4 linked regions of the Oryctolagus cuniculus genome follow. Each later gene encodes a partner of the first gene's protein in a complex. Links are inferred from orthologs where the notes say so. Each region holds a gene or a part of one and is shown in the gene's direction. Other genes may lie near its edges.

The links.
Region 2: the proteins of CCND1 (region 1) and CDKN1A are in contact, whole or in part, in a crystal structure (PDB 6P8H), measured with the Homo sapiens proteins. The link is inferred for Oryctolagus cuniculus from reciprocal best matches to the Homo sapiens genes CCND1 and CDKN1A. Residues at the interface, in NP_444284.1 of Homo sapiens: Met56, Ile59, Thr62, Trp63, Glu66, Val67, Glu70, Glu92, Lys95, Lys96, Ser97, Arg98, Leu99, Gln100, Leu101, Ile126, Tyr127, Thr128, Asp129, Ser131, Arg133, Glu136, Gln139, Met140, Leu142, Leu143, Asn146, Lys147; in NP_000380.1 of Homo sapiens: Ser15, Lys16, Ala17, Cys18, Arg19, Arg20, Leu21, Phe22, Gly23, Pro24, Val25, Ser27, Gln29, Leu30, Asp33, Cys34, Asp35, Leu37, Met38, Cys41.
Region 3: the proteins of CCND1 (region 1) and AMBRA1 are in contact, whole or in part, in a cryo-EM structure (PDB 9IVD), measured with the Homo sapiens proteins. The link is inferred for Oryctolagus cuniculus from reciprocal best matches to the Homo sapiens genes CCND1 and AMBRA1. Residues at the interface, in NP_444284.1 of Homo sapiens: Thr286, Pro287, Thr288, Asp289, Val290, Arg291, Val293, Asp294, Ile295; in NP_001354397.1 of Homo sapiens: Arg54, Ser55, Phe57, Val73, His75, Arg96, Thr97, Trp99, Leu116, Ala139, Arg184, Ile945, Asn1012, Asn1029.
Region 4: the proteins of CCND1 (region 1) and CDK4 are in contact, whole or in part, in a crystal structure (PDB 2W96), measured with the Homo sapiens proteins. The link is inferred for Oryctolagus cuniculus from reciprocal best matches to the Homo sapiens genes CCND1 and CDK4. Residues at the interface, in NP_444284.1 of Homo sapiens: Leu6, Cys7, Cys8, Glu9, Val10, Thr12, Ile13, Ala30, Lys33, Ala34, Thr37, Phe108, Lys112, Met113, Glu115, Pro118, Leu119, Thr120, Ala121, Leu138, Gln139, Glu141, Leu142, Val145, Asn146, Lys149, Trp150, Asn151, Leu152, Ala153; in NP_000066.1 of Homo sapiens: Gly45, Gly48, Leu49, Ile51, Thr53, Val54, Arg55, Val57, Ala58, Leu59, Arg61, Arg62, Ala65, Phe66, Asp76, Val77, Cys78, Ala79, Arg82, Ile87, Val89, Asp129, His132, Ala133, Asn134, Cys135, Ser285, Phe287, Arg288.

Annotation. Positions count from the first base shown.
Region 1 is NC_091432.1:3,244,980-3,253,195, reverse strand, and holds the start of CCND1 (G1/S-specific cyclin-D1), read left to right. Parts: upstream 1-3,288; 5' UTR 3,289-3,436; coding exon 3,437-3,634; intron 3,635-4,843; coding exon 4,844-5,059; intron 5,060-5,527; coding exon 5,528-5,687; intron 5,688-7,731; coding exon 7,732-7,880; intron 7,881-8,216. UniProt on the Homo sapiens protein: Regulatory component of the cyclin D1-CDK4 (DC) complex that phosphorylates and inhibits members of the retinoblastoma (RB) protein family including RB1 and regulates the cell-cycle during G(1)/S transition.
Region 2 is NC_091436.1:132,892,778-132,898,987, reverse strand, and holds part of CDKN1A (cyclin-dependent kinase inhibitor 1), read left to right. Parts: intron 1-524; exon of another isoform or gene 525-651; intron 652-2,996; 5' UTR 2,997-3,007; coding exon 3,008-3,452; intron 3,453-4,888; coding exon 4,889-4,938; 3' UTR 4,939-6,210. UniProt on the Homo sapiens protein: Plays an important role in controlling cell cycle progression and DNA damage-induced G2 arrest. Involved in p53/TP53 mediated inhibition of cellular proliferation in response to DNA damage.
Region 3 is NC_091432.1:19,383,692-19,391,135, forward strand, and holds part of AMBRA1 (activating molecule in BECN1-regulated autophagy protein 1), read left to right. Parts: intron 1-621; coding exon 622-794; intron 795-3,746; coding exon 3,747-3,813; intron 3,814-4,368; coding exon 4,369-5,822; intron 5,823-7,444. UniProt on the Homo sapiens protein: Substrate-recognition component of a DCX (DDB1-CUL4-X-box) E3 ubiquitin-protein ligase complex involved in cell cycle control and autophagy.
Region 4 is NC_091442.1:60,317,862-60,326,014, reverse strand, and holds CDK4 (cyclin-dependent kinase 4), read left to right. Parts: upstream 1-1,506; 5' UTR 1,507-1,511; coding exon 1,512-1,759; intron 1,760-2,213; coding exon 2,214-2,450; intron 2,451-2,603; coding exon 2,604-2,739; intron 2,740-2,856; coding exon 2,857-3,024; intron 3,025-3,181; coding exon 3,182-3,291; intron 3,292-3,530; coding exon 3,531-3,581; intron 3,582-3,718; coding exon 3,719-3,854; intron 3,855-4,089; coding exon 4,090-4,182; 3' UTR 4,183-4,460; downstream 4,461-8,153. Other genes in the region: TSPAN31 (tetraspanin-31), read right to left, coding at 5,011-5,085, 5,181-5,294, 5,542-5,670, 5,993-6,073, 6,276-6,443, 6,936-6,998.

The DNA of each region.
Region 1 (8,216 bases):
GTTCCCGGCATTTCAGCTCCTCCGTTTCCTGGGCTGCTGGCGGTCGCCCGTCCGGTTTTGTCGCGTTCCTCAACGTGACGCACCCAGGGGACACTGCCCACCGACTCACACTGGCACCACGACTCTCCCTACCACGAGAAAAGGCAGCCCCGGGGCCACGCGGGGAGCAGGCGGCTCCGGCACCCGGGCGGTCCGCGCGCACTCGGAGGCCGCGGGTGCGCGCCTTCTCCAGGCCTTACGGTAAGCGCGGCGCACAGGGCAACCACGTGGCGGCCGAGCCGAGGCCCGGCGGGAGCGCGCAGGGTGCACGGCGCGCACCCGCGCCTCCCCTTGGCTCGCGTGGTGGCACCGCAGGCCCGGCACGGTCACCCGGCCCTCGTGGGGACACCTCTAGCCCGGCGCCGCCACCCCAGCGGGGCTCGGGGACCGAGCGCGGCCCAGGCGGTGGTGGCTCGGGCCCGGCGAGCCCACAACCTTCCACGGGCCCCGAGCCCGCGGCCCGCCCTCCCAGCCCCCACGACGCGGGCTCCAGAGGCCTCGGGGCAGGGGTGCAGGCCAAGAGTCTCCTCCTATCTGGGGAAAAAGTTGACTTTTCCGCCACTTCCTTGAAAAGGGTCCGGAAACCCTCAGCGAAGACCCCGGCGCGGGGGCCTGGCAAGCGGGCTGCAGCGCGCGGAATGCGGACCCTTCCCCGGGCCTCCGGAATGGGCGGGGGCGCCGCGGGAGCCCACGAGGGCCGGAGCGCGAGTGTGGCCCCCAGGGGTCCCAGGGAGTGCGGCCAGGAGCCCCGCGTCCTCGCGGCGCGCGCGGGGACGGCCCAGCCCGGCAGGACCGCGGGACACCAGGGCTGCACGTGGCCTGCGGGGTGGAGGTGGGCGCCCACTCTGGGTCCGAGCCGCGCGGGGGTGCAGAGCCGGAATCTGGGGATCCCCTGGGGACGTCGGGGTGTGGGTGGCTCACGGGGCCCCTGGCGATGCGTTCTGCGGGGCGAGGAGCGAGATTTCCCACGGCCTCCAACCCCCCCTCCCAGCTTCTTCCCCCTTGGGAGCCCGTGGGCGTCCCTGGAGGCCTGCGGCTCCGGGGACAGCGGGAAAGGGCCGTCCCCGCCCGCAGCCTGCCCCGCGTGTTCCCGGGGCCCAGGGAGCGGGGTAGTCTGTGTGTGGTTTCAATTAATTGATCGGAGGCGGTGGTCGCGGCGCGGGGGGTGCGGCGTCGTCCGTCCCGGGTGGGCACCGGGACCTGGCCGGGCCGAGTCCGCAGCACGTGGGCCGCCATGCGCCGAGTGGGGGTGGGGGAGCCCTGCGCCCCCGGAACCGCGGGGCCTGCCTTCGGAAGCGTCCTCCAGGGCGACTTAAAGGCTTAACAATGGAAACCTCGCGGAGCTGGAGCCAAACAAGCCCTTTGAAGCCGCTGCCAGGTATGCGGCTGCAGGTGACCGCACCTGGGCGCGCCCGCCCGGGTCCGAGGGGGGAAGGGCAGGCGCCCGCCTCGGGGCGGCCCCTGGGCTCCGGGCCCCGCGCCCCGTCCCCAGCGCCGCGCGCCGGGCGGTGCGTGCTGGGGTCTGCGCCGCGGGACAGAGGTTCGCACAGCCGGGGACGGTGGCGCTCGGGCGCGGGGGGGAGCGGGCACGCGTCCCGAGTTACGTGGGGGCTGCTTCCCGGGGGTGGGGGGCGCCGGCCCTTTGTCTCCAAGTCAACGGGACGCCCAGAAGCGAGAGCTCTCTCGGGGCGCAGCTCCAGCTTCGTGGTGTGTTTTTTTTTTTTTTTTTTCTAACAAGTGCGGCGCTGACACCGCAAGAAAAGTTTTTAAGTTATTATTTGGAGAGGCAGACGATAAGTGCAGAAGCTGAACACCGCCTCCGTGCGCGCGGGGCCGCTCCCCGCCTGCCTGCCCCGCGCGCCCAGGCGCCGCGCCTCACGCCCGGCGGCCCGGCTTGCACTTTTGCGCCCGTCCCTGGCCCGCGCCGGCCGCCGAGTTCCGCGCGGAGATCTGCCGGGTCCGCCTAGTAACAGCGCGGCGCGGCGATTGGCTCATGCTAATTCCAGCTTCCTGCGGGGCGCGGGGCGCGGGGCGGGCTCCCCGCGGGGCCGCGGGCGCCCAGGGCCCGCGTGGGCGCGCGCCGCCCGGGGCCCCGCGCCGCCAGCCTGCGCGCGCCCACCCGAGCCCCGCCGGGCTGCGCGCGGGGCCCCGCGCACGGCCGCATGCTCGCCCGCGCCGCCGCCGCGTTGCGATTTTATGAATGAAACGGCGGCCGGCGCGGCCCGCGCCCATCCCCCCGGGGCCACCCCGAAGTCCCGGGGCTTCTCCAGTTAAGGAAAGCGCTGTTAAAAATAAAGAAAAAAAGTTTTAAAAAAGTCAAGAATGGGCAAAGTGTCCATTTAGCTTTTTAAAAAACTCAAAGAGCCCAATGGACAGACTACGCTCACTGCGTGATGCATTCTGCCCTGCGGGACCGGGGCCACGCACGCCCGGTTTCTGCTTCAAAATAGCCCGACGCGTGACTCCTCGTGGCGCCGACTCCTCGCTGTCGCCCACGGAGGCGGCCCCAGGGTAAACTCCGAGCCCCCCCACCCCGGTCGCCCTGGGCCCCCAGAACCGATGCGGGCGCGCCCGGGGGTCGCACGTAGTCCCCGGCATCAGCGACTCCCGTGCCCAGCGATTTTTTTATTATTTTTTTAATTTAAAAAAACTGGGGGGTGGGGGGCGGTTAGCAGCACCCGCATCGTGGCTTGGCCGCCTCGCAGTGGCCGCACGTGTGCTGGGCGCGAGGTGTGCGGGGGGACCCCCGCGAGGCCGGGCGGGTGCGGACACGAGGCGGCCCCGGGCGCCAGGGGCGGGACGGAGGCAGCGCCGGCCACCATTTTGGGCGGCTGCCTGTATTTTAACTATCCGAGCGAACGCGTGAGGGGCCACAGTCCCCTTGCCGCGCGCGGGGCTCGCCCCACGGGCGTGGGCCCCGACCCCCCGCACCAGCGCCGCCCCGCGTCCCCGCCAGCGCGCGGGGCCCCGATTCTACACGTGTTCCTGAAAATGAAAGGGGATGCGAGCGCCTCCCGGGGGTGCCCTCGTGGCGCTGCCCCCTCCACGCGGGTGGCCGCCCGCCCCACCCCGCCGGTCTCGGGGGCCACCCCCGCCCCCGCCCTGCGCCCCGCTTCCCCGGCGGGCGGCGGGGTGCGATTTGCATGTCTATGAGCACTCGGCTCCGGGACGGCTCCCGGGCTCGGCCCCTCGCGCGCCCGCCCCCGCGCGCGCCCCGCCCCCCGCCCCCATTCTCTGCCCGGCTTTGATCTCCGCTGAACAGCGGTCGCGTCACTCGGGCTGCTGGGGAGTTTTGTGGAAGTTGCAAAGTCCCGGCGCCTGCACAGCGCTGTCGGCGCGGCAGCGGACGGGCGGCCGGAGCCCAGCGCGCACCCAGCACCCCGCCGCCGGGCCGGCCATGGAGCACCAGCTCCTGTGCTCCGAGGTGGAGGCCGTGCGCCGCGCCTACCCCGACGCCAACCTGCTCAACGACCGGGTGCTGCGCGCCATGCTCAAGGCGGAGGAGACCTGCGCGCCCTCCGTGTCCTACTTCAAGTGCGTGCAGAAGGAGATCCTGCCGTCCATGCGCAAGATCGTGGCCACCTGGATGCTGGAGGTGCCGGCCGCGCCGCTGCTACGGAATCCGTGTTTTCCGAATAAATAACCCCGAGAGCGGGCAACTTCCGACCCGGGCAGGGGCGCGTGGGGGCTGGGGCGGCCCGGAGCGCGCCCCTCTGCAGGCGCAGGGGGAGGGGCGGCGCCGGGGGCCACCGCGGCGGGTGCGGGGTGCAGCCCGGGCGCCCTGCGCGGGCCCGGGGGGAGGGGGCGCGGGTCGGATCTTTAGGTGAATGCCCACGGACACGTATGCAAGTGCCGCTCGTGCCAGTGTTACGCGCCATCTTTGCTCTTTTATTGCAAAGCTAACGCGTTTATTAATCATTGGGGGCGGGGAGCGGCCGGCGGGGCGCGGAGGGACCGCCGCGAGGGTCCGCACGGCCGCCCGGAGCCTGCGGGAGGGGCGCGGGGCCGCGGCGCGGGCCGCTCCGAGGGACCCGGCTCGGGAATCCGGGGAGCCCCTTTGTCCCCGCGGCGGGCGCCGGGACACCCCACATGGGCGGCGTGGGCCACGCGGCGCGCCGGGCTGCAAGGTCGCGTGGCCCCCGAGGCGCCGGGGGGCTCGGCTCCGGGGGTCGTCCCGGGGCGGGCCGGGGGCCTGGGGCGCGTGCTCAGGCCCGAGGGGCGCGCGGGCGTCTTTGAGCCGCTTCTCGCAGCTCGGCGCAGTGCCCTTGCGCCCGAGGCGAAGGGGGGGGTCCCCGAGTTTGAGTTCCTGGGGCTCCCCCCGGGGCCTGCCGCGGGCTCCCGGCCCCCGGCCCAGGTAGAGCACCGCCCGAGGGTCATTTTCAGGGGTCTTCTGCGCGCCCAGTTATTTTTTTAATATTTTTAAATATTTTTTGAAAAGATGACGTCTGGGGAAATGCGGCGCGGCGGCCTGGGACGCCACCTTTGTGTCTCGCGGGCGCGGGGCGAGCGCTGCGCCGGGCCACCGCGGCCCCAGGCCCCCGGCCCCCTGCCCGCCCCCAGCCCCCGAACCCCAGCGGGTGCCGGCCCCGGATACCCCGCGCGGGCCGGGGTCCTGGGGGTCGTGCGTCCGCGCCGGTCGCGCGGGGACTTTCCCTTTCAGTTTCGGGGTGGGTGGGCCCCAGGCACGCGCGTGGCGGCGAGCGCACCCCGGGAAGCCCTCGCCGGCCCCTGGCCCGGCGCCCTCGGGCACGGAGACCCTGGCGCGGGGCGCGGGCGGCGGTCACGGCCCCGCGTCTTCCCGCAGGTCTGCGAGGAGCAGAAGTGCGAGGAGGAGGTCTTCCCGCTGGCCATGAACTACCTGGACCGCTTCCTGTCGCTGGAGCCCCTGAAGAAGAGCCGCCTGCAGCTTCTGGGGGCCACCTGCATGTTCGTGGCCTCCAAGATGAAAGAGACCATCCCGCTGACCGCCGAAAAGCTGTGCATTTACACCGACAACTCCATCCGGCCGGACGAGCTGCTGGTACCCGGGGGGCGCCCTGCGGGCCGCGGGATCCCCGCTGGGCGGGCGCGGGGAGGAGAGGCGCGGGCGGCCGGGCCGGGGCCGGGGCCGGGGCTGGGGGCGGCCCTCGCCGGCGCCCGCCGCTCGCGGTCCGCGGCTCCCACCAAGTTTTCGCCCGGCAGCGGCGTGGCCGGGCAAGCGTGGGCGGCGCGCGCCCCCTAGCGGCGCGAGCCCGGACGGCCTTCGGGCTCCAGGTGGCGGAAGGTGGCCTTTTTTTGTCCTTGCCTGCACAAGGTCGCCTCGCGGTCGCCTCCTCCCGTCTGGATCAGGGACCGTGTGCGGGTTCCTCTCCCCCACCGCGCCCCGCATTCCCTGGGCGCGCCCCTCCCTGTTCCGCCCTCCTCCCCAGGGCCCCCCCCAACCCGCGGAGGGCAGACCCCTGCGCGTGCGGCTCCTGACGCGCGCTGCGCCTTTCGCCCGCTCCCGCAGCAAATGGAACTGCTCCTGGTGAACAAGCTCAAGTGGAACCTGGCCGCGATGACCCCCCACGACTTCATCGAGCACTTCCTCTCCAAAATGCCGGAAGCCGAAGAGAACAAGCAGATCATCCGCAAGCACGCGCAGACCTTCGTCGCCCTGTGCGCCACAGGTGGGGCGCCCCGGCCAGGGCCTCGCGCCCCACCACCGCGCGCCGCCCAGGGGAGGTGGCCCCGGGGTCTCCCCGCCTGCCTGCTCTCCCAGCCTGCCTGGGGGCGGGGGGGGGCCTCTTCCAGCGACGGCCCCCTGTGCTGCGCTGGGCGCGCCTGGCAGCCGTGACCACTGCGTGCCCAGCCGGCTCTGCCTCTGCGGCCGGGCTGCCCGCCCCCACCCACCTCCACCCCTCCCCGTGTCCTCAAGGAGCCTGGACTGCGGGGGCCCCTCCTGGCCTCTCCCGGGCTGGGCCACCTGCCAGGGGCGCCTACAAGGGCGGGGAGGGGAGAGCGGCCGGCAGCGCCTGCACCACGTGCTCGGGTGGCCAGTGGCAGGCGCGCAGCCCCAGTGCGGGGGCGGCCAGCAGAGGAGCTTGGCCGCCTGAGGCCCCGCTAGGGGCGCCTGGGGCCAGCCCAGCTGAGCCTGGGAGGGGCCTCTGGCCTGGCTGCTCTTGGCGCCTGGTGTGGCACTGCCCTGGCCCCAGACCCTGCACGCCTGCAGAAGCCTGGAGGGGTCAGCTGCGCCCCCATGCAACCCCCAGCCCCACTGCTGAGTGCCAGAGGCCTGGAGACAGTGGGGGGAGGGCACAGACGCATCGCCCACCTGCCTCACCCTCGCCGCGCGCTGGGCTCCACCTCCGGCTCTGGTCCGGCCTCCCTCATCACAGCTGTCTGGGCTCACACCTGCGGGCTAGGGGTCACCCCAGAAGACAGGGGGACGGAGCCCCCCACATCTGGCGTGTGCCTCCTCCCTGGGGGTCCAGAGCAAGTCCCGGACCGGCGCAGCCATCTTCCTGGCCGGCCCCTCCCGCCTGCAGCCGTGTCCCACCCTAAGCCGCAGTCCTGCCGGGGGGGTCTCAGAAGCCGGCTCCTGAGCGTGCGAGGCCTCCCTGGCCAGGCGCGGGGGCAGGCGGGCAGGCGGGCAGTCTCCCGCCGGGGCTGCACGAGGGCCGCCTCCCAGACTGTAGGCGGCCTTTTATGGAGCTGAAAGTGGGTTTGGAGAGACACACTTCCCTGGAGATAATGGGAGGGCCGGCTCCCGCACAGCCGCCCTGCACGGAGACATGGCGGCCACAGCTCCCCGCCGGGACCCCAGGTGCTGGTGGGGAGGCGGGCGAGCTGGTGCAGGGGTGCCGCACAGGCCCCGCCTTTGGGGTGCGGTCAGCGGCCAGCAGGCCTGGGCCCCGTGCGGCACAGCTAGAGTGCAGCCTGTCCAGGTTCCCGCTGAGGTGGGGGGACGGCCCCCATGGGAGCTAGCGGGGCCTGGCCCTGGCCTCCACAGCATAGGGGGCTGGGCTGCCCAGTGCACAGCCCACGACTGCTCTGGGCTGGGCTGGGTTAGGTCAAGACGCCCCTGCAAACAAAGCCAGTTCAGGAAGGGGTCTTGCGCCCCTGAGCCCCGTGGCCACGGGGGCCAGGGAGGGAGGCGGGGACAGCCTGGCCCAGCTCCAGCCCAGGGCCCCTCACCAGTAACTCCTGGGCCAGCCAGCTGCCAGGCGCAGAGTGAGCACACAGGAGGCAGGGAGGCCCGCAGAGGGGCGCCCAGGGTGGGGGCAGCACTACAGCCCTCTGCTCTTTCCTGGACCCTGATCCCTGGGGTCCCCCACCCCCGCCTCCCAGGCCGTCCAGGGCATTGGGCCCAGCGTTGCTGGTGGTGGGCAATGGCCAAAAACCCGACCTGAGCCGAGGGCCTGGTGTGGGGCTGGCTTTACCCAGCCAAGGTGGCCGGGAGAGCCGAGCCCAGCCCTGCCGGGGGGACCGGAACCCGTAGGCCCCATCGCAGTGGCCTGGAGGGTGGCTGGTGCCTTGCACAGGCGGTCCCTCCGGGATGTGGTCCCCTGAGGGGCAGGTCTGGGGCTGACGCCCGCCCTACACAGTGGCTGGACTACCTGTTGTGAGCGCCACAGCACATGTCCCCTGCTGTCCCGCCCGCAGCCCAGGCTGCGCCCAGTGCTCGGGGGAGACCCCCCGCTCACGGGCCCCCTCCCTCTCCCTCTGCTGCAGACGTCAAGTTCATTTCCAACCCGCCGTCCATGGTGGCGGCCGGCAGCGTGGTGGCCGCCGTGCAAGGCCTGCACCTGGGGAGCCCCAACAGCTTCCTGTCCTGCTACCGGCTGACGCGCTTCCTGTCCAGGGTGATCAAGTGTGACCCGGTGAGTGGCAGCCCCGGGCGGCCCCCCTTCTCTTCACAGGGGAATCCCTCACAGAGCAGAGCTGTTGGCCGGTCAGGGACAGTTTCCCCCGGCGGGGGCCCAGGTCATCCTAGGGGGGCGGCCCTGGAAGGTTCTGGGAGTGTCCCCACTGGATGCCGTCTCATGTGCACCTGCCTGGCCCCTGTCTGGCGGCACCTGGGTCTCAGGGCATGGGGACAGCGGCTGCCCACCCCAGAGGGGCGGAGCTCACTTCTGCTGTGACCCAGCCGTGCCCCCACCCCGGGGTGGGGGAGGCAGGCCCCAGCCTGCAGGCAGAGCAGCCCCTGCCCCGGCTGG
Region 2 (6,210 bases), on another chromosome or scaffold:
AGCGGGTGTCCGGTCCCCACTCCGCGGCGCACCATCGGGAACCTGGAGGGGGACGGGCCGTCGCAGGGGTTCCACCCACGGCTTCCCCGCCGCGACTTGGAGGACCCCGGCCCAGCCTGCCCTTGGGCCCGGCCCTGGAGCCCCGGGCGAGAGCGGAGCTCGGTACCGCCGAGCAGTGGGACGCGCCGCCCCCAAGCTCGGGGCCAGGGGACCGTCAGGAGGGGTCGCATCGCGGCCGGGTGGGGCTTCTGGGGGCGGGGGGCGCGGCTGCCTTGCGCGCGGGCGGGGCGCCCGACCTGGGCTGAGCGCAGCAGGGGGTGGGGGTGCGCTCAGGCACGGGCTCGGGCAGCGGCCCCTCGCGCGCCCCCCGCCGCGGGCGCTCCGAGACCCTGCGGCCGGACCGGGCCCTCGGGGGCGCCGAGACTCCTTCCTCCCAGGTTCCCGCCCTCCACGTCGCGGTTCGGGGAGGACTTTCGAGCGGTTTTGTTTTCTTTGCGGCCGTCTATTTTTATTTTCCAGGGATCTGACTCATCCCGTGCTTTGGGCGTGGAGATAAGGTGGAGGGGCCAGGTCCCGGCGCGCCTGTGCATGCGCAGGGGCCGCGCGCGTCTCCGAGTCCGCCGCCCCGGAGTGTCCGTGCGCGCGCGTGGGGTCTGTGTCTCTCAATGTGCCTACCCGTGCGTCTGCGGCTGTGTCGGTCTCTGCGTGTCTACCTGTCGGCGCGCCCCTGCGTGTGTGTGTGTGTGTGTGTGTGTGTGTGTGTGTGTGTGAGTCGAGTGTGCGGACGGCTCAGCGTGACGTGTTTGCGGCGCGGGCCCCTCCTGCCCTCCCCGCCTCGGGTGACGCGAGGCCGGAGTGGAAGCGAAGTCCCGGCGGGCGGGAGCGCGGGGCAGGAAACTGACTCATCACGGCCGCTCCCGGCGCCCGGGCCCTGCCCACGCACCGCCCTCCGACGCGGAGTACCCTGGGGCCCGGCGCCCCCTGCCGGCCCCGGCGCGAAGGGCCAGCCAGCCCCGCGAGCCCGGGGCGCCGCTCGCAGCCTCCCCCCACCACCCAGGCAGCGCCCCACGGCCGTGGGCTCTACAGCACTTACTGAGCCCCTACGATTCACTGGCCAGCTGGGGGCTGAAGCCTGAGGCATCCCCGGGGAGGTTCCCCTCGGTGGCCTGGGGAGGAGAGACCCAGGAGAGGACAGCGCTGGTGGGAGGGGGCGGTCCCGCCCCCCGCCCTCGCCCATGGGGCACCCACGCAGCGTCCTTGTCAGACCCACCAGTGTGTTCCCCTCTTGGCTGGCACCTCAAGAGGGCCTAGCTGGGTGACGGTGCCAAACACCGACTTAAATCCCCTTCTGTTTGAACTGAGTCGCTCGGGTGGGGATAGGGGGTCGATGCAGATTTCTAAAAAGTGCCCCCCAACCGTGGGGATTCTGGTGGGCCTCAGAACTGGGGAAGGGGGCCAGGAACCCAGGATGACCGCTTGCGGGCCTCGATTCAGTGACTACCCCAGCCTTGGTCCCCACTTCTCTGTAAAGGAGCTCATTCAAATCCAGTTTTTTGGAGGATGGCTGTGCCCTGGAGAGGGTGGACAGCGGTTACCGGAGCCCTTTGCGGCTGCTGCCCTGTGGGACCTGTTTGGGGGGCAGTGGCCTTTTGCCTTTCTAGCTGTGCGGTTTGGGATGCAAGTCTCATCTCGTAAAGCAGCTGCCCTTTGAACTTGGCCTGAGGTCACTGGGTGACTTTCCTCTCCAGCCAGCTGCATGGTGGAGCTAGGGGCTGTGCTCAGGGTGGGAGGGGCCGTGGGGTAGGTGTGGCAGGTGTGGCTTCAGCAGAGCTGTCCCCCCCAGAGCCTGTGAATCTGGTCCTGTCCCCAGGAAAAGCTGGAGTCAGGCCAGAGCAGGGCGCCCTCGCGAGCAGACTCCCCCTCACTTTTCCGGAGTGGGAGGTGTGCAGCCTGGGTGGACCAGCCATCTTTCATGTCCATTGCCCACAAAACGGGTTTCTTGGAGGCAGGCAGGGCTGTGAAGGGTCCAGACTTTGGCTCACCTGGTGTGCCTGGCAGGATGTGGCTCAGCCGGGGGAGAGACCGCCACCCCGCCCCACCTTCCCCCGAGGCCACCCACCTGATGCCATCCTTGGGAAAGGCCCCCAGCCTACGGCACCTGTCAGCTGCCGTCTGGAGGGGGAGAGGCAGGGAGGAGGCCCAGCCAGAGCTGCAGGCACAGAGGCGTCCTAACACCACGGTCTTCTCAGCGCCTTGGCCAGGTGCTGCCCAAGCATGTCCCCCACCTCTGAGACTGTTGCTGTCACCGGCCTCTTCCTAGAGAGGAGGAAAGGGGAGCGCAGAGACGCTAAGCCACTGGTCGGGGTCGCCCCGCGGAGCCTGCCCTCCAACCCAGCCCCTGTCACACCTGCTGCTGCTCGGCCTGCCTGGAGGGACTCCTGCCCCCACCCTGGCACTCTCTCAGCTTCCATAGACCAGGAAACGGAGGCCCAGAGACATGCAACGTCTACGTGGGAAGCCGTGGGGCTGGGATGACAGCCTGCGTGTTTTTACTCCAAAGCCCGGGGTTCACTTTTCCAGGCAGGAATGATGGGGGAGGTTGTGTTGGGAGGCTGGAGGAGCCCCTGCCTACGCCTCCCTCTGGGAACCGACTTCCTGGCCAGGACTATCACTGGGAAACTACTGGACTCTGGCAATTCACACCCCTGAGGGCCACCTCAGGGGAGGACAAATTGATTTTAGCTGATAACGCTGATGGCAAACAGGACCCTGCTCCCGGCCAGGCCATTGCAGTGAGGTCATGCTGTGGACATAAGCTCGCCCCGTGCTGCCCATGCCCCCATTGACGTCAGGGTGCCTGGCTGGCTGAGTTCTGCCCCCACCTGGGGTCTGTTGGGGGGTGGGGGTGGATGCCCCGCCCCAGCCAGGGTGCGGTAGAAAGTCCTTGTTGGGAACCGGGAAGCGTCCTCACCAAGGCCACCCTTCCACTGTCCCAGCCCTAGGCAGCATGTCGCAGCCGTCGGACGAGGCGCCACAGCCCCCGCACAGGAGCAAGGCTTGCCGCCGCCTCTTCGGGCCCGTGGACAGCGAGCAGCTGCGCCGAGACTGCGACGCACTCATGGCCGACTGCCTGCAGGAGGCCCGCGAACGCTGGAACTTCGACTTTGTCACTGAGACGCCGCTGGAGGGCAACTTCGCCTGGGAGCGCGTGCGGGGCCTGGGTCTGCCCAAGCTCTACCTGGCCCCGGGGCCCCGGGGTGGCAGGGAGGACCCGGCAGGGTGCAAGCGGCCGAGCACCTCAGCCGCCCTGCTGCCAGCGGCTCAGGAGGACCACGTGGACCTGTCGCTGACCTGCACCCTGGTACCTCGCTCCCCGGAACGGCCCGAGGAGTCCCCAGGCGGGCCTGGTACCTCTCAGGGCCGGAAACGGCGGCGGCAGACCAGCCTGACAGGTGAGGTCGGGTGTGGGGAGGGATGCTAGGGGGGACTGGGGCCCTCGGAACCCCCCCATGCGGGACCTGTCCTGTTTGCTTCAGCTTGTCCCCGAGAAGGGAAGCCGCCTAGGTGAGGCTGCACACAGGGCTGTAGCCAGCGTTTGTCCAGGGCGTATTTATTACCCGGCAGTCCTTGCTGAGCGACTGAAGACAATCTTGCTCCCCTTCCAAGGAGACGAGGCTCCGAGAGGGAGAGATTGGCCTGAGGTCGCGCAGGGCGTGTGCTGGGGAGAGGACACTGGCCGTAGCGCCATTCTGGCCTCTGCAAACTTTATTCCCTCCCCTCATCACACACGCGTCCCTCCCTCCCCCCACCTATCCGCCGTGTCCTCGTCGGCATTTTTCTACCCTGGATCCACTGTTCCTTCTGACCTTGACACGGGCCGTCTCTCCCACTAGCATATCAGCCCCACAAAAAAGGGATCTGGGCGTCTCTTGTTCATTGTGGAGTCCCCAGCCTGGAGAGCAGTGTCTGGTGGAGCAGGTGCTCCATGAAAGGTGAATGAGTGATGCTGGCATTTGGTCACCTATTACGCCGGGCCCTGGACCAAAGCCTTTAGAGAGACCATTGATTTCCTCCTTAGAGTGCACTCCCACGGAGAAGCCTCATTTGCAATTTATTACTTATTCATTCAAGAGACACAAAGAAAGCTTCCTTCTGCTGGTTCCCTCTCCAAATGTCCTCAGTAGCCTGGGTTGGGGCTGCAGGCAGGAGCTGGGAATTCAATCCAGGTCTCCCACATGGAACGCAGGAAACCGATTTCTTGGGCCATCAGCGGCTGCCCGGAATTCCAGAGTCGGCATTAGCAGGAAACTGGAGTCGGGAGTGAGAGCCGGAATAGAAGCCAGGCACCCTGGTGTGGGAGGCAGGCATCCTCCTTGCTGGGCTGGAGGCGCACTCCCACGCCTCGTTTTGTAGGTGAGGCAGCTGAGGCTGAGGGGTGCAGACGAGCGTCCTGTGGGCCATTTTCAGTTGGGTCTGAACTGATGGTGATGACAATGATGACTCCTGTGGACCTGGGCCAGGACACTTTCTGTGGACTGGTGGACTGCCTCCCACAGCGCTGACCAGCAGAGTTCTATGCAGGGGCGGGCCTGTCCAGTGCAGGGGTCCCTGCGTCCCAGGAACCAGATCTTTGCTTGTGCTGGATTTGAGTCCCCGGAAATAGCCACGTAGAAGTAGCGGCTCCTGCTCAGGGCAGTGTGGCCCAGACCAGACTCATGGACAGTCACATCAGTGAGGCACAGGGGTGCTCCCTGGGTTCTTCCCCATCCCTTAGCAGGGTGTCCCTGCCTTAGGGGAGGCTGTCCCAGCCTCTGCACAGTAGACTTTGGGCGTGTGACTCAGTGGCGCCCCCTCGTGGCCTGGCTGACTCCATGTCTCTCTCTCTCAGATTTCTACCACTCCAAACGCCGACTCGTCTTCTCCAAGAGGAAGCCGTAATCCGCCCGCCAGAGGCTGCTGGCTCCTGGAAACAACAGGGGGGCCCCCCGAAGGCCCCTTGCACATCTCTGCCTTCATCTGCCCTTCAGTTTGTGTGTCTTAATTATTATTTGTGTTTTAATTTAAACTCCTCCTTGTGTACATACTCTGGCAGCCCCTACCCCCAGCCTCCGGCATTAGAATTATTTAAAAAGAAATTAGGCAGTAGAGTGATAGGCGCCCGAGTGCTGGGTATTTTTATTATATGAACTGTTATTTAAACCCTTTTTCCTCCCTGTGCTGTCTCTGTCCCCTCCCTCCCAGGGGTGAGCTGGTGCTGGCTCGGGGCCAGTTGCCTTGTCCTGCCCGTGCGGCCATCCTTGCCTCCTCCGTGGGTGGTGCTGGGGCCCGGCTCCTGCCCCTAGCCTCAGCCCTCCCCTGCGTTCTCAGACCCAGTTCCTTGAGAAGGGCGTGGATAGCACTTTGAAGGAGGGGTGTGGCGTCATCGGAAGCTCTGGAGTCCCCTCACCTCCTCTAAGGTTGGGCAGGTGACTCTGAGATGGGCACAGCCTGCACGGGCCTGGGGCTCTGTGCCCTCCTGGCCCATGATGCCCCCTTTGTCCTGGGAAGGCTGGGGGAAGGTGAGGTCCCCGAAGCAGCCTCGCCCCGCCCCGTGGTGCATCCCGTTCTGGGCTCCCACGCACTGTCTGGGGCCTCGGCTGCCCAGCCCTGTCTCCTGCTCTCCCTTACCCCCGTCCTGCCCCTCCGGCGCCCTCGCAGCCCCAGGTAGCGCAGCCCAGAAGGGCGGGCAGGTAGGCAGGCAGGTGGCAGGAGCAGGGCTGCCCGGTCGGCCTTTCGCAGCGCTACAGGTGGGGTCCAGTGTTGTGGACAGGCCTCCTCTAGTGGGATCTGTGTGGGTAGGGGGGTGCTGGAGGCAGAGGGTTTTCTAGGAGGGAGACCCCAGTCCCCGGAAGTCATCCCATATCTAACCCGTCCCTCCTTATTTCATTGCACTTTGAGTAGCGGCTGAACAAGGAGCAGCTCAGGGCAGGGGAGGCTGTCGAGGGCACACGGATTGGGCCGCTATGGCTCCGAGAGTGGGGGCTTTGAGTCCCTGGGCACTTCTGACCCCAAACACCTTCCAGCTCACTCTTGGGACATCTCCCACTCCCCACGTGTCCTAGTGCCCTTGTCTCTCCACCTAGGCCTCACACCTCCCGTGGGCAGGGACCACATCCTGCATGTCCCTCTATGCTTCACAGCCCCTCCCCCAGTGCTGAGTATACAGCAGGT
Region 3 (7,444 bases), about 16 Mb from region 1:
TTTCTGTGATCTTTTAAATGCATAAGATTGATTGCTGTCGGGTCCTTTATTCTGAGAAAGAGACAGCCAGGTTCTTTGGACATCTGAGTGTGGCAGTCATTGCTTAGTTAATTGATAGAAAGTCTAGCTCACGTTCCTCTGTTCTAAGGTGAATACCCATTGTTCCAGAGTACAAGAGGCGCTACGATGTGTTTAGGATGGATGGATTTCTGTTGTTTCAGAGCAAAGATTGTATTGTACTCTGATCGGGAGCATCAAAGCAAGATGTTTTGTGCCCTGGTAACTGGCTAGCGGGTCACTTGAGCCATCACTGCTGCCTCCCAAAGTCTGTTCTGTCCCAAGTTGTGCACCAAGCATGAGTATTTGCAGACCTGCAAAAACAATAACCTTGTTTATGCTCAGTGCTGTGGATTACAGATGACTTGAAGAACTGGCCTTACAGTTACATTTATCTGATAAATTAGTAACCCTGCCATTTCACTGATCTGCATTGCTTTACAGGGGATGTATTTAAAATAGACACCACAAGTAGTTTTCATTAACTGCACCTCTCTTGAGATTGACGTTCCCCTCTGCTGGCAACTTAAAACCTGAGAATATTTGGTGTTGGTTCTTTCACAGGGTGGCAGTGAAAGCTGGTTCACAGACAGCAACAATGCCATTGCCTCCCTGGCCTTCCACCCCACGGCTCAGCTCCTGCTGATTGCCACTGCCAATGAAATCCACTTCTGGGACTGGAGTCGACGGGAGCCATTTGCAGTGGTGAAGACAGCTAGTGAGATGGAACGGGTCCGGTGAGTGCTCTGCACAGAACTCACATGACAGAACATTTCTACGTGCTGCCACCTGCTTGTCTCTGTTTCAGGGGGGTTGCTATCCCTCTGGTTCCTCCTGCTTTCTGGTCATCTGTCTAATTGTCTTGGAAGCAGTTTATGTTCATTTCAGCTGTCCCTGTTGGCCCCAACTTAGGTCTCTGTAGACCACGTTCACTAGAAGGAATATAACCAATTTTATTTATTTATTTATTTGAGAGAGAGACAGAGAAAAGAGACACACAGAGACTCAGCTCCCATTTGCTGGTTCACTCCCCGCAGAGCTTACAGAGGCTGGGGCTGAAGCTGGGAGCCAGGAACTCAGTCCAGGGCTCTCGTGTGGATGGCAGGAACTCAGTCATTTGAGTTATCACTGCTGCGTCCCAGAGTCTGCATTAGCAGGAAGCTGGAATCAGGAGACAGAGCTGGGAACTGAACCCAGATACTCTGATTTTGGATGTGGACTTTTTTTTTTTTTTTTTAAGATTTATTTATTTATTTGAAAGGCAGAGGAGAGAGAGAGAGAGAGAGAGAGAGAGAGAGAGAGAGGGGTCTTCTATCTATTCCCAAATAGCTGCAGCAGCTGGATCTGGAGGATCTCCCACAGGGACCGAAGTACTTGGACCATCTTATTTTTTTTAAAAGAGTTATTTTTATTACAGAGATAGGTAGAGTTAGAGAAAAAAATCTTCCATACGCTGGTTTATTCCCAAATGACAACAATGGCCAGAGCTGAGCTGATCTGAAACCAGGAGCCAGGAGCTTCTTCCGGGTCTCCCATACTGGTACAGGAGCCCAAGGAGTTGGGTCATCTTCTGCTTTCCCAGGACATAGCAGAGAGCTGAATTGGAAGAGGAGCAGCCGGGATTCAAACTGGCGCCCATATGGAATGCCGGCACTGCAGGCTGGGGCTTTAACCTGCTGCGCCACAGCGCCAGTCCTTTTCTTCCTTTTTAAGATTTATTTTATTTGAAAAACAGAGTTACAGAGAGAGGGAGAGACAGGGTGATGTTCCATCTGCTGGTTCACTACTCAAATGGCCACAACAGCCAGGACTGGGTCAGGCCAAATCCAGGAGCCTGGAACTTCATCCAGGTCTCCCAAGTGGGCATCAGGGGCCTAAATACTTGGGCCATCATTCATTGCCTACCCAGGTTCATTAACAGGGAGCTAGATCAGAAGTGGAGCAGCCGGGACTCAAGCCAACACCTATCCGGAATGCCAGCAGCACAGGTGATAGCTTAACCTGTTGTGCCACCACTTCAGCCCATCTTAAGTGCTAGACTAAATATCCACTTCCATTATAATGTGTTTTTAAATTTTAAAGAGGTTGTTACTTTACTTAAGTGGCAAAGAGAGAAATCTGTCGTTGGCTGATTCATTCCCCAAATGGTTGGAATAGCCAGTGCTGGACCAGACCAAAGCCAGGAGCCAGAAACTCAATCTGATTCTCTCATGTGGGTGGCTGGAACCCAACTACTTGAGACATTAGTTGTTGCCTCTTAAGGTGTGCATTAACAGGAAGTTGGAATTGAGAGTGGGGCCAGGACTTGAACCTAGGCATGTCCACATTGGATGCAGGCATCCCAGGTGGTATCTTAACCAGTAGGCCAGATCCTTTCCCCATTATAATCTTTTTTAGGTTCAAAGCTGGCTGCATTTGGGATCTTTCTTTGAGGAAACCTGAAAGTGGTTTGGGTAGTATTTTAGAAAGCTTTGTGGATAATAACTCATCTTTGGTTGTCTGTGTTTATCCAGCTGGAAGAAGGAGTTGTAAGCATGTGTCTGGCAGCTCTGCTAATGAATATTTATTTAACCCTCAAGATCAAAACACATATTGCCTGAATTAAAGTTGATGCTTTGTCTTCCTTTGGCCGTGTTGGTATTGCAGTTGGTTATAAGTTAATTTTCTACGTTCAGCTTTGTTACTGTATGCTGAGACTGTTCACTGTCACCAGTATGACTGCTTTTTGAGGGAAGAACAACCTGTGGCAGCACACGGGAACATTTCATGCTTTACCGTTTGCTCTTAGGTATGAGGAGCAAATTTATTTATTTGAAAGGTAGAGTTGCAGAGTGAAAGAGAGACTTTTCCACCTGCTGGTTCACTCCCCAAATGACTGCAATAGCTGGAGCTGGGCGATGCAGAAGTCAGGAACCTGGAACTCCACCGTGTCTCTCACATGGGTGGCAGGAACACAAATACTTGGGCCATCCTTGCAGAATGGGAGGCCATGCTTTCCCAGGGGCCCAAGTAGCAAGGACCTGGATCAGACGCAGAGCAGCTGGGACTCAGACCGGCACTCAGGAAATGCCAGTATTGCAGGCAGCAACTGAACCCATTGTACTACAGTGCTGGCCCCCAGGGGGTTTTCAGAAGTGAAATAATTTTACTCTGGTCTTCTTATTGAGCCTTATTATTATTTTTTAAAAAGATGTATTTGAAAGGCAGAGTTACAGAGAGACAGAGGCAAAGAGAGAGAGAGAGAGAGAGAGAGAGAGAGAAAGTCTTCCATCCACTGGTTCACTCCCAAAAAGGCCACAACGGCTGGAGCTGGCCTGCAATCCAAAGCCAGGAGCCAGGAGCTTCTTCAGGTCCCCGACCTGGGTGCAGGGGCGCAAGGACTTGAGCCATCTTCTATTGCTTTCCCAGGCCATTAGCAGAGGACTGGATTGGAAGTGGAGCAGCCAGGACTTGAACTGGTGCCCATATGGGATGCCGGCACTGCAGGCAGCAGCTTTACCCACTACACCACAGCTCCGGCTTCAAGCCCTATTATTTTAATCTCTTGAAAATTTTAAGTCTTACATGAAGTGGATACCCAAGTAATCTCATAATTCCTGGTAATGGTTGCTATAAATTCCAACACAGATTTCCTCTTCTCAGTTGACATAATCTCTCTATGTGTGTCTCTGTCTCTTCTGTGATTTCAGTCTGGTGAGATTTGATCCACTTGGACACTACTTACTTACAGCAATTGTTAACCCCTCTAATCAGCAGGTAAGTTATGCTAGCAGTCCCAGCTTTTTTTCTAACCTTGTGTTCTAATTCTGATTATATTGGATTTTAATTCTCAGTGCCCAAGTCTTTCTTTCCAGTCGAGATTTAAATTAGCTTCAGGCTGTATATTTAAAGTTACAGCTATAATCCTAACATGAGAGACAGTTGTGAAACCTGGAAGTGATCACCTAGAAGTAACCATTGCAGTCACCAGGCACTGTTGGATGGCTTGTCATTCATATGCCTTGGACTGGTTGGTGTTTGGCTTCACTCACTACCTCCATATCATGGAGATGCCTTTCATAAGAGAATTGGCTTGCCAGCTGTACTCATTCAGATAAGTTGCTCATTGGAAGTGACTAGTTTAATACCCTATGATGATTCGGAATCTGAAGCCAGTTAGGTCTCTCTGCTTCAGGGGTAGAGAATTATTGCCTGTCTGTGAAGGTTGTTTGTCCTTGGCTGATTATCAGTAGTTAATTTTTCTGGATTGACTTGGAAGTTCTACCTAACTGCCTTGCCGTACGCCTGCCCCATGCTGGTCCACATTTGCAGGGTGACGATGAGCCAGAGATCCCCATGGATGGAACAGAACTATCCCACTACCGTCAGCGTGCCCTCCTGCAGTCACAGCCCGTTCGCCGGACGCCTCTCCTGCACAATTTCCTGCACATGCTGTCCTCTCGCTCTTCTGGCATCCAGGTGGGAGAGCAAAGCACAGTGCAAGATTCTGCTACCCCCTCACCCCCACCGCCTCCCCCTCAGTCCTCCACGGAGCGTCCCAGGACTTCCGCCTACATCAGGCTCCGACAGCGGGTCAGTTACCCCACAGCTGAGTGCTGCCAGCACCTCGGGATCCTGTGCCTTTGCAGCCGCTGCTCTGGCACTCGAGTTCCTTCCCTCTTGCCACACCAGGACAGTGTCCCCCCTGCTTCTGCCAGGGCTACTACCCCTTCCTTTTCTTTTGTACAGACCGAGCCCTTCCATCCCCCGGAGCAGGCCTCGTCAACGCAGCAGGACCAGGGCCTCCTGAACCGGCCGTCTGCCTTCAGTACAGTCCAGAGCAGCACTGCCGGCAACACGCTCCGCAACCTCAGTCTGGGTCCCACCCGGCGCTCTTTGGGAGGCCCTCTGTCTAGCCACCCTTCTAGGTATCACCGGGAAATAGCTCCTGGGCTGACTGGATCTGAGTGGACCCGGACAGTGCTCAGTCTGAACTCCCGCTCTGAGGCGGAATCCATGCCCCCGCCCAGGACCAGTGCCTCTTCGGTGAGTTTACTGTCTGTGCTGAGGCAGCAGGAAGGTGGCTCTCAGGCATCCGTGTACACTTCAGCCACAGAAGGGAGGGGTTTTCCAACTTCAGGGTTGGCAACTGAGTCAGAAGGAGGGAGTGGCTCCAGCCAGAACAACTCCGGCAGCATTCGCCATGAGCTCCAGTGTGACCTGAGACGCTTCTTTCTGGAATACGATCGGCTTCAGGAGCTGGATCAGAGCCTCAGTGGGGAAGCCCCCCAGACCCAGCAGGCCCAGGAAATGCTCAACAATAACATTGAATCTGAAAGGCCAGGCCCTTCCCACCAGCCCACCCCACACAGCAGTGAGAACAACTCCAGCCTGTCTCGTGGCCACCTGAACCGCTGCCGTGCTTGCCACAATCTCCTGACCTTCAACAACGATACCCTGCGCTGGGAAAGAACCACACCCAGCTACTCCTCGGGTGAGGCTGCGTCCTCTTGGCAGGTCCCCAGTACCTTTGAGGGCATGCCGTCGAGTGGCAGCCAGTTGCCACCTCTCGAGCGGACTGAGGGTCAAACACCCAGCTCCAGCAGGCTGGAGCTGAGCAGCTCTGCTAGTCCGCAGGAGGAGAGGACTGTGGGGGTGGCCTTTAACCAGGAGACAGGCCACTGGGAAAGAATTTACACCCAGTCCAGCAGACCTGGAACTGTGTCACAGGAGGCCTTACATCAGGACTTGCCTGAGGAAAGCTCTGAGGAAGATTCCCTCAGGAGGTAAGCGGTGGCTTCCTGTCGGCTCCTGCATCCTTTCCTTGCCTCCCTGCACCTCTGCCTGCAGTCCTGTAGATGCTGTGGCTGTCTCTGGATGACTGGGACCCATGCATCTGGTTTGGATGTCTCCATTGCATCATTTCGGAAAATTTTATTCTGGTGGCAGAGATAGGAAAGGGCCTAGCTATATGAGTCAGTTGGCTGTGCTATATCTATTTCTGGCTAAGCCTAAGGCTCTGGGTTTAGCCTTGAAAGGAGGGTGTTGATTAGGTTAGAAGGCATGAGGAGATGGAACCATTGACTTCCTCTGCCGGGTTTTTATTTTATTTTATTTTTATTTTTATTTTTATTTTTATTTTTTGGGCATTCTTGAAAGATTTTATTTGCAGGACTAGTTATTTTGGGACAAGAAAATGTCTGAGTATCTAGGAATAAGTACTAAAAGAATCCTGCTTGATATAGATTACTATATTGTTCCAGCTCTTTGTGTTGCTTTGGATAGCTGTTCACCTCTTAATCCTTAGCTTTTGGAACACTGCAGCTTGACAAAGAGAAAAAAAAGACAACATGCATTTATGTCAAGAAAAGGTGAATTTTAAAAATTTATTTATTTGAGAGACAGAGGGCTTCTATCTGCTGGTTTATTCCCCAGATGCCCACAGTGGCTAGCAATAGGGCTGGCCCAACCGGGAGCTAGGAACGCAATCCCAGTTTCCCATGTGCCAGGAACACAGTCACTTGACCCATCACTGCTACCTCCCAGGGCCTGCATTAACAGAAAGCTGAAATCAGGAGCGAAGCTGTGTAATGATCCCAGGAACTCTGGTATGGGATGTGGACATTTTAGACTCTACGTTAAATGCCTGCCCCAAAAAGATATATATATATATACACACACACACGCACACACACACACACAAATACACACACACATATATGTAAATTGTTATGATTCTTAGAATGAACCTTCCAGCTGAACATTCACCTTGGGATGAGGAAGAAGAATCTTTCATGGAAGAAAGAGAGTGGGTGTAGTTGATCGCCCACTCCATGTTCCATGTATGGCTCTGCACACATCTATCTTGATTTATTAGGGCCCTGTTTGTGTAATTTTGTAAAGGTCAAATCTAGCGTAATCACCAACTCCCAGAATATGCCTGTTGGATCCAAACAGCTTCTCTCTCTGTATTATATCCTCCATTTGAAGCAACTGAAATTTCTTTGACGTAAGCTTATAGCAAGGGTGAAAATATGGACTGTGCACATAATGTTCTTGTTATTTTGGGAAGATGCTTTAGACAGTTACCCAATTAGTATTAATTACAATGGCTATGGTTGAATGGTTACAACTTTTTCAGTACTGGGCGAGGCATTGTGGGGCATGCAAAAGAAGGATGATATAGCAACTTTGCCCACTGTAGTATAGAATGTTAACGTGGAGTCAAGACTTATTGACATAAAGTTTATCTAAAGCATAGTTGACCATATGCTTCACTCAGTGGTACTGAGATTAAATGTAGTATAACTTCAAGAAAAAGGAAGTGTCATCAAGGAACACCTTTTTAAAAGAGGATTTATTTATTTATTCGAAAGTTAGAGTTACACAGAGAGAGAAGGAGAGGCAG
Region 4 (8,153 bases), on another chromosome or scaffold:
GCAAGAGAGCTCGACAAACTCCCACTTAGCCCAGGCTCTGGAAGGCTCACAGACCAACCAGCCCCTGCTTGGTAGCCATTGAAACCTTCACCTCTCCAGCCTCTTCGTTCGGATCTTGAAGTTTTCCTTACTGGTGTCCCAGCTGCCCTTGTAGCCAGGGCCCAAGCGTCGCAAGTATCCGAAGTGGAATGGGCACTGACATACTTCCATCTTGCCCTGACTCATGTGAACTCATCTTCAGGTCGGAACTCTTACATGACCACCAGAGTTGAGAACAGAACTTAGGGTGCAAGGAGTGGCAAATAGGGTAATAAAATGCTTACAGATTTTAGACAATTTCTCACAGACAAGATGCTCAATCTCTTTACTCCCATGTCCTCAAAGAGCTGGGAGATAAAGAAGTTGGAGCCAATAAGATAAGAAATCTACCTGTGTCTAGGTGTCTGTAGGCAGAGGCTATTTGGGAAAGGCTGTGTTCAGGGCGGTGATGAGCGCTAAGAAGGTGGTGTCTGGGGAAAAGAAAGCACAAGGCCCCCGAGTGAGTTACAAGGTTGGCAGGAGGCCAGAAGTCAATCTCGTGTATAGCAGTGGCCTGGGATGTTGGTGATGGTTATGGTGATCCCTCTACCTATTCATCTGAGGACAAAGGACACACATATCACATAGCACACACACACACACACACACACGCATCCACATATCACAGATTTGTAAACTCAACGCTGAAAAGAACCTTCAAGATCAAAGCCGATATTCCTGCCTCCTGCTCATCAATAACTTCTCTGCCTGACAGCACCCAGTCTATTGTAACACTCCCAGAGAGGGCTGGAAGCAGCCCGGACCGGGAAGAGAGGCAAGCACTACCTTGCCACAATTCCTGTTGGATTACTCTATTAACCTGCCTTCCACCCCTCTTCTAATTCCAGTCTGCCCTCAGATGGGCATTGTCTACTCCCTATAGGACCACATTTTATATACAGCCTTACCACTACTCCTAAGAGCCAGTGACGCAGACACCAAAACAAAACCCCACACACACACTGCAAGCAAGCGCTCAATGCAATTTTGTTGAATGAATGAGTGAAACAAAGACACAAATCCGATTGTTTTCCCACGGCCGCGGAGCCGTAAGGTGACAGCCCCACCTGCCACCGCCGACGCCCCTGCCCCCACCTCCCGCCAGCGTGGAGAGGCTGCGAGGCCAGCAGCCGGCCAGGAGCTCGGGTGCTCTGCCCTCAGCGTGGAGTCGGGAGCCGGGTGGCCCAGGTTGCCATGGCACCGCCTCGGACTCCACCCTCTCCCGTTCCCCCTCTCCCACCCCACCTCCCTGGCGCTGAGGTTATGGCAGCCAGTCACGTGCCCCGCCGCGTAACCACACCTCTGCTCCTCAGAGCAATGTCAAGCGGTCACGTGTGATAGCAACAGGTCACGTGGCTGGCATCCCCCCTCCGCCCCCTTTCCCCTCAGGGCCCCCCTCCCCGTCCAAGCCCAGCTCGGCCGCCCCTCTGCGCATGGGTGGCGGTCACGTGTCCCGAACGTCCGGCGCCCGCCCCGCCCTCCCAGTTTCCGCGCGCCTCTTTGGCAGCTGGTCACATGGTGAGGGTGGGGGTGAGGGGGCCTCTCTAGCCTGCGGCCTATGTCTATGGTCGGGCCCGGAGCGTCCAGGTGCCCAGGACCGAGCTCGGGTGTATGGCGCTGGAGGAACCAGCTCCGGGGCCCCGATAACGGGCCGCCCCTGCACCTCCCAGCCTGGAGTGAGGTAAGTGCAGCCCCTGCCCCCACTGGGGGCCAGTCCCGCCGCCGCCCCCTCCCCCCACAGCCGCTTCCCATGCGTGCGCTTCGCAGGCGATTTATGGGAGGGTCGCCCGCGGGCGAGAAGTGGGGCTTTTGTGGACGTGGGAAGGTGTAATTTCGGGGACCGGGGTGCGGGATCCTCGGCGCCAGGCGTGTGTATGTGTGTGATCTCCTTTGTGCTGGATGCGATGTTCCCAAAGGAAAGGGGGCTTTTACAAAGTGTGCGGCCTCACGTGGCTGGAGGGGTCGCTGTTGGAGTCATTGTTACCTGAGGCGCGGCGCGGCGGGCGGTCGCGGAGGGCGCGGGGTGCAGGTGGGGCCGTCTGTGCCATCCGTGTCGGAATCACTTTGTCCGCTGCCAGCTCAGGCCATCCCAGCTCTGGGAGAGCATGTGGTGCAGGGAATCTCTGTGTTCCTAGGGTCAACCCTGATCTGAGAATGGCTACCTCTCGCTACGAGCCTGTAGCTGAAATTGGTGTCGGTGCCTACGGGACGGTGTACAAGGCCCGGGACCCCCACAGTGGCCACTTTGTGGCCCTCAAGAGCGTGCGAGTCCCCAATGGAGGAGGCGCTGGAGGGGGCCTTCCCATCAGCACTGTTCGCGAGGTGGCTTTACTCAGGCGGCTGGAGGCCTTTGAGCACCCCAATGTTGTCCGGTGAGAGGAAGGTGCAGGGCCCGGAGTGGGCAGTCCAGGCAGGGGGGCTGTGGTGGTCAGGAGAGAGGTGGGGATCCTGGGGAGGTACACGATGAGGAGGCCATAGGGGAGTCAGAGGATCCTAGCTAGCGAGGGACCATTTGTTCTGGCCAGGCTGATGGACGTCTGTGCCACCTCCCGAACCGACCGGGAAATCAAGGTGACCCTGGTGTTTGAGCACGTCGACCAAGACCTAAGGACGTATCTGGACAAGGCACCCCCACCAGGCCTGCCGGCAGAGACCATCAAGGTAAAGGGCGGGGGCGGACACGGGGAGGTGGGTTGGGACCTTCTAGCAGAAGCCCTGGGCATTTCAGGCCTAATGCCTGGTTTCTTGTGTGTCTGTTTTTTTTCCCTTGCAAATCAGGATCTGATGCGCCAGTTTCTTAGAGGCCTGGATTTCCTTCATGCCAATTGCATCGTCCACCGAGACCTGAAGCCAGAGAATATTCTGGTGACGAGCAGCGGGACGGTCAAGCTGGCTGACTTCGGCCTGGCTAGAATCTACAGCTACCAGATGGCGCTTACACCTGTGGTCAGTAGAAAGATGTGGTAGCCAAAAATGGGCTCTGGTTGGGGGTAGGAGAAGGATTGCCCATAGCAGCTGAGAAATCATACTTTGTCCTTCCATCAGGCACTGGTGCTTCCCGGAAGCCCTGGGGGCCCTCACCTACTCTCGCTGTTTCCCTTAGGTTGTGACGCTCTGGTACCGTGCTCCTGAGGTTCTTCTGCAGTCTACATATGCCACGCCTGTGGACATGTGGAGCGCTGGCTGTATCTTTGCAGAAATGTTTCGTCGAAAGTATGGGACCCAAGTTCCCTGCACAACCTGAGTCCCCCGCCTTGTGCAGGAGCCACATGCATGCCTTGGCCATTTTTGTACTTGGGTGCTGTTCACCATCTTGCCCGTAACCAGCTCTGAGACGGAATCAGAGACTTCACATGCCTTTATTCCCCACACCCTCTAAGTCCCACTAAGCAGGACTCATGCCACCGCTGTCTCTGAAAGTGACTGCCACCTTGTATTCCTTCTCGCTCTAGGCCTCTCTTCTGTGGAAACTCCGAAGCCGACCAGCTGGGCAAAATCTTTGAGTAAGTGACCAGCCAGGGGGCAGAGAATTTTCCATTCTGAGTCCTCTCTCTGCTGAACTCGGAGTTAACCCACTGGCTCTGCCTGGGGACGGGAGCTGGAGAAGGACCCCTGTGACAGAGCTTTCGTGTCTCCCTAGCCTGATCGGGCTGCCTCCGGAAGACGACTGGCCCCGAGATGTGTCGCTCCCCCGAGCGGCCTTCTCCCCAAGAGGGCCCCGCCCAGTGCAGTCGGTGGTGCCGGAGCTGGAGGAGTCCGGAGCGCAGCTGCTGCTGGTACGTGCGGGCGTGGGGCGTGGGTATGGGGCGAGACTGGGCTGAGAGACGGCAGTATGTCCGGCCCCAGCCCGTGGTGGTTGAGGAGCAGTTCTTATTGCTGTTGGGAGTGGCCAGGTGCAGAGAGGGATACACAACATAGAGAATCCATCCCCAGGTCGTGTTGGGGACAGTCAGGGGAGGGAGAGAAGTCTTTGTGCTCCACGGTTTTCTGACCTTGGCCTCTACCCCCTAGGAAATGCTGACTTTCAGCCCACACAAGCGGATCTCTGCCTGCAGAGCCCTGCAGCACTCTTACCTCCACAAGGAAGAAGGCGGCCCAGAGTGAGCCGTGGACACCGCCAGCCACGCCCTTCTTCTGGACACTAGGGTGGCGAGAACCCCACAGAGAAAACCGCTCTGCCTCGTCTCTGCGGCCGGGCAGACTCCGACTTTTTACAGAGAATATTTTGCTACCTTGATGACATTCCCTTCCCACCCCTCCTTTCGAGGCCTATCTTCCTGCCCCCTGTTTCTCTACACTAAGGGGTATGCCCCGTCTTTCCCCCTTTCCTACCTTGATACTGGGGTCCTTTTTTATACAGGAAAACAAATAAGACAAAGAAATAAGGTCTTTTTTTTTTTTAATGTTTCTTTCTCTGATTGGCTTTGTCACTGGGAGATCTGGAGAAACCATGTGGAAGAAGGGACTTCCCTTAGCCCCTTAAAGAGTGTCCTGAAGTTAGACCCAGGGCCTGGGCAGCCACACAGAGCCCCTGCACTCACAAACGTGGAATTGAAATGGCTTTTATTTTTATATTCACTGAAATGGCTCAAACTGGGTCCTGTTTAGGCGTTCTTGGTGGTTTTCTCCTTGGCTCTGCCCCTGATTGACCTCCAGAGCCCAGCATGTGGGAAGGTGAAGAGGGGAAACAGCCCCGCCCCATGCACTCCCTGGAGCTGCCTGCATCCACTTGGGCAGACAGAAAGCTTTCTTTCTAGCCTGCAGTCTGGCTGCACCCAAGTCTGTCAAGCCCTGAAGCCTCACTGTTGAGTTGTTCTCAGGGGATGTAGCAAAGGGCCCTTCCTTTTTCTCAAACAAAAAGGGGCAGCAGACCCTGGATTTTCCCTAAGGGAAAAAGAAAACGCAGGAGAGCAGGCAGAAGGGGCCAGAGTCTCACAGGAAGGCACTGGGGTTGGCGCGCGGATCCTTCTGATTCCGGAATCTCATCGCTAGCCAGACACCAAGGATCTGTAGGGACAAGAGGAGCCACGAAGGCACGGTTCAGTTCTGAGAGGGTCAGACCTGCAGAGAAGGGGTGTACTTGAGGGAACGGGAGACTGTACCTCAGTAAAGCTGAAGAAGAGTCCCACGCCCCCCAGAATTTTCAGGGCTTCATCTGAATGCCTAAGGAGCTTCTCTCCACACATGGGGCATGCGGAGCTCCTGTTCTTGCAGATCTGAGGAGAAGGCGTGTGTTTGGAGAATGCAGAGACGCTGAGCTGCCTTCTCCAAATGTCTGGGGTGGCCACCCCTAGGAATTACTAGAATCTGACCAGTATCCTACAGCCTAGAAGCCCATTTAGCTAAATCTCCCCTCCCCCACCAGCAGTGCCTGGACACAAGGGAATTGCTAGAAAGAGGGGCGGTGGCATTCAAATCTGCCGGTTTCCTGCTTCCTCCCCGCTGTGCCTACCCCCAACTCACAGCATTGCAGGAAGTATCGTCTTGATACATGGTTGTGAGGTTGAACAAGCCACAACAATCAAAACTTCTTTCCAGTTCATGTCGGGTTTTGTTGCTCATGACCCACCAAGAAGCATTGATGACATCTGTCTGGAGGGTAAGGGCAGAGGGAAGTTCAGCTTCCCTACATCGAAGCTCAATTGAAGTGCCCCAGTTTCCCCGTTCTAGCAAAGGGAGACAGCATCGCTCTGGAGCACAATGGTGTCAGTTACAGACAATGATAGATGACCACCTTGGGTTCTCTAGATTGTCACGGGAAATTAACAGACATCCCAGAGGAAGCAAGTGCTTAAGTGCCTGGAAGCAGTGGGCCAAAGGGTGATGTTTGGGTAGTTGGGGCCAGACTAACAGGGAGAGCTAAAGGTTAAGGAAAATCGAGGACTTGAGAAGGAATCCCACTTGCCCCCTTTACCTGTTTGCTTCGGTTAATAGCCAGACATGAGCAGGAGATTCCAAACTGGAAGATGAACACCAAACCAAGGATGATCATGTACTGAGAGTAAGAGTTACGGAAAAGACCGAGGTTCCTTTATGCTCCATCTAAAATAACCACCTGGTCTTACAGACTTTTATATGTTCATGTCAAGTTGAAAACAATGAGACCAGCATTTGTGTCACAGATTATGGTCAGAGCCCTGAGGTCCCCCAACTTCTCCCAAGAGCTGGGAGGCCCCCATCACATCAAGTCAGGATACAAAGAAGAGCAGGACTTGGTGGTGGTTGACAGCACCCACCAGTCCGGCCACTGCAATGAGGAGAAGGAAGACTCCCACAGCAATGACTCCACCGATGATGTGGATGCTGGACACCAGACCCAGGCCCTTACCCCAGGCGGCCACGCCAATCAGCAGCAAGCCCACGAGCTACAAGAAACAGCAGCATTCATCTCAACGAGGCCTGGCATGCAGCACGGTGGATGGCAATTACAAGGGGGCCTAGGCAAAATAGGAGATTCAAGTTTGTGACTGGGGGACGAGGTGCATCCCTGGGCGCTCCTCCCAAAGGAGGTCAGGATGGCGCGAGGAGACCGCATAGTCTCTGAGCGTAAAAACTGAACTGGCCGCGTGGTCCATGATTAACATTCTGGGGAGTAACAGGTTCACTAAAGGGAGGGGTGGCACTTCATACACACAGCCCTGGCCCTGTTCCCCACCCACCACCCTCCGAAAAGACCCCTCACTACCGGAAGTCTACCCTCATCCACGGAAGTCCCCAGGAATCCCCCTCTTCGCCGGAAGTTCTTGAGGCTCTTCCCGGAACCCCCAGTGCACCCCTCTCCCCACCGGAAGTCCCCTGGAGATTCTCGCCGCTCGCCTCTCCCCCCGCTGACGCTTCCCCCACCTCGGAAACCTCACCATGTAGACCACGTTGAGCGCGCACAGCGCATTCTTGGAGCAGGCAAAGCCGCCGCAAACCATTGCCCCAGTGCTGGGGACCCAAGCGGTCCCAAGGACTCGGGGGGAGGGTATTACGAGCCGTCTTCTAGGTGCCCGACAGCTTCTGTCTCTTTAAATCCAGGCCAGCCAAACCCAATTCTCTGAGCCTGCACCGTCCCACCCCCTGCCTCTGGATTGACGGCGCCCGCGGCTAATCCCGGACGTCTGTGGCCTGAATGCCAATCAATCTACATGACGTCACCGAACCGCCTCCCGGCCCCTCCTTTAGATTCTTCATTGGTTGAGCCTTAACACTGGAGGCAGGGCTTCTGGAGTCTCGTAGAGACCGGAGCCGAAACTTCCAAAGCCCGGGTTGAAAGCGGAGTTTCCGCGGCTGTGGTAGGACTGGAGGGAAGGCTGATCCGAGGCAAGAGTCTCTAGAGAAGCTCCGGTGAAGGGAGAGAGAGGAAGTGAGGCTCCGAGAGCCTGGCGAGAGGGCTCGCCCCTCGAAGGAGGGCGCGTCCCCGCCTCGTTCCCCTTGTCCGGCGGTGACCTCATGATGACGCCACCGTCTTGCTGCTATTGCCTCACTCGTGGGAACACCCGAAGGAGCCGGAGATTGGACCACTTAGCCTGGTCACGGAGACCTCGAGTTGAGGCCGTCTTAGGTTTGTGCGTCCTCTGGTGCACATGTTCCGTTCCCCGGCGCCTTCCGACGGGCTGCGACGGAGCCAGGAATTCAGGGTGGGGAACAGCGGCCTGGAGCCAGCAGAGTCCTGGGAGTGACCGAGCCACAGGCGCACACGCAGGGCGGGCTCGACCGCTCCGGAGCGCGATCTTGATCCAAAGCTGGCAAAGGGACGAAGCTGGGAGGCGAACGGGGTCTCCACGTTTTTACTTCCGAGACAGGCGTGGCGGCTGGTTGATAACTGACTAAGCGCTTTGACACGCCATCCTTTCCATGCCCCCTCGCTGTCTTAGGAGAAAGCAGCGGTTTGGGTGGCGACAGCCCAGGGAAGCCTCCGACCAGCCCCGCAGAGTGGCTTAGCTTGTGCGCGCTTGCGTTCTGAGCAGCACAGCTTTGCCACTGGTGGCTGTGCGACCCCGGGCTGGGGACTCCAACGCTCCTTGCCTGTTCCCTCATCTGCAGAGTGGGCTTAGGGAACAGGACAAGCACCTCTGGAGTTCTGGTGAGGA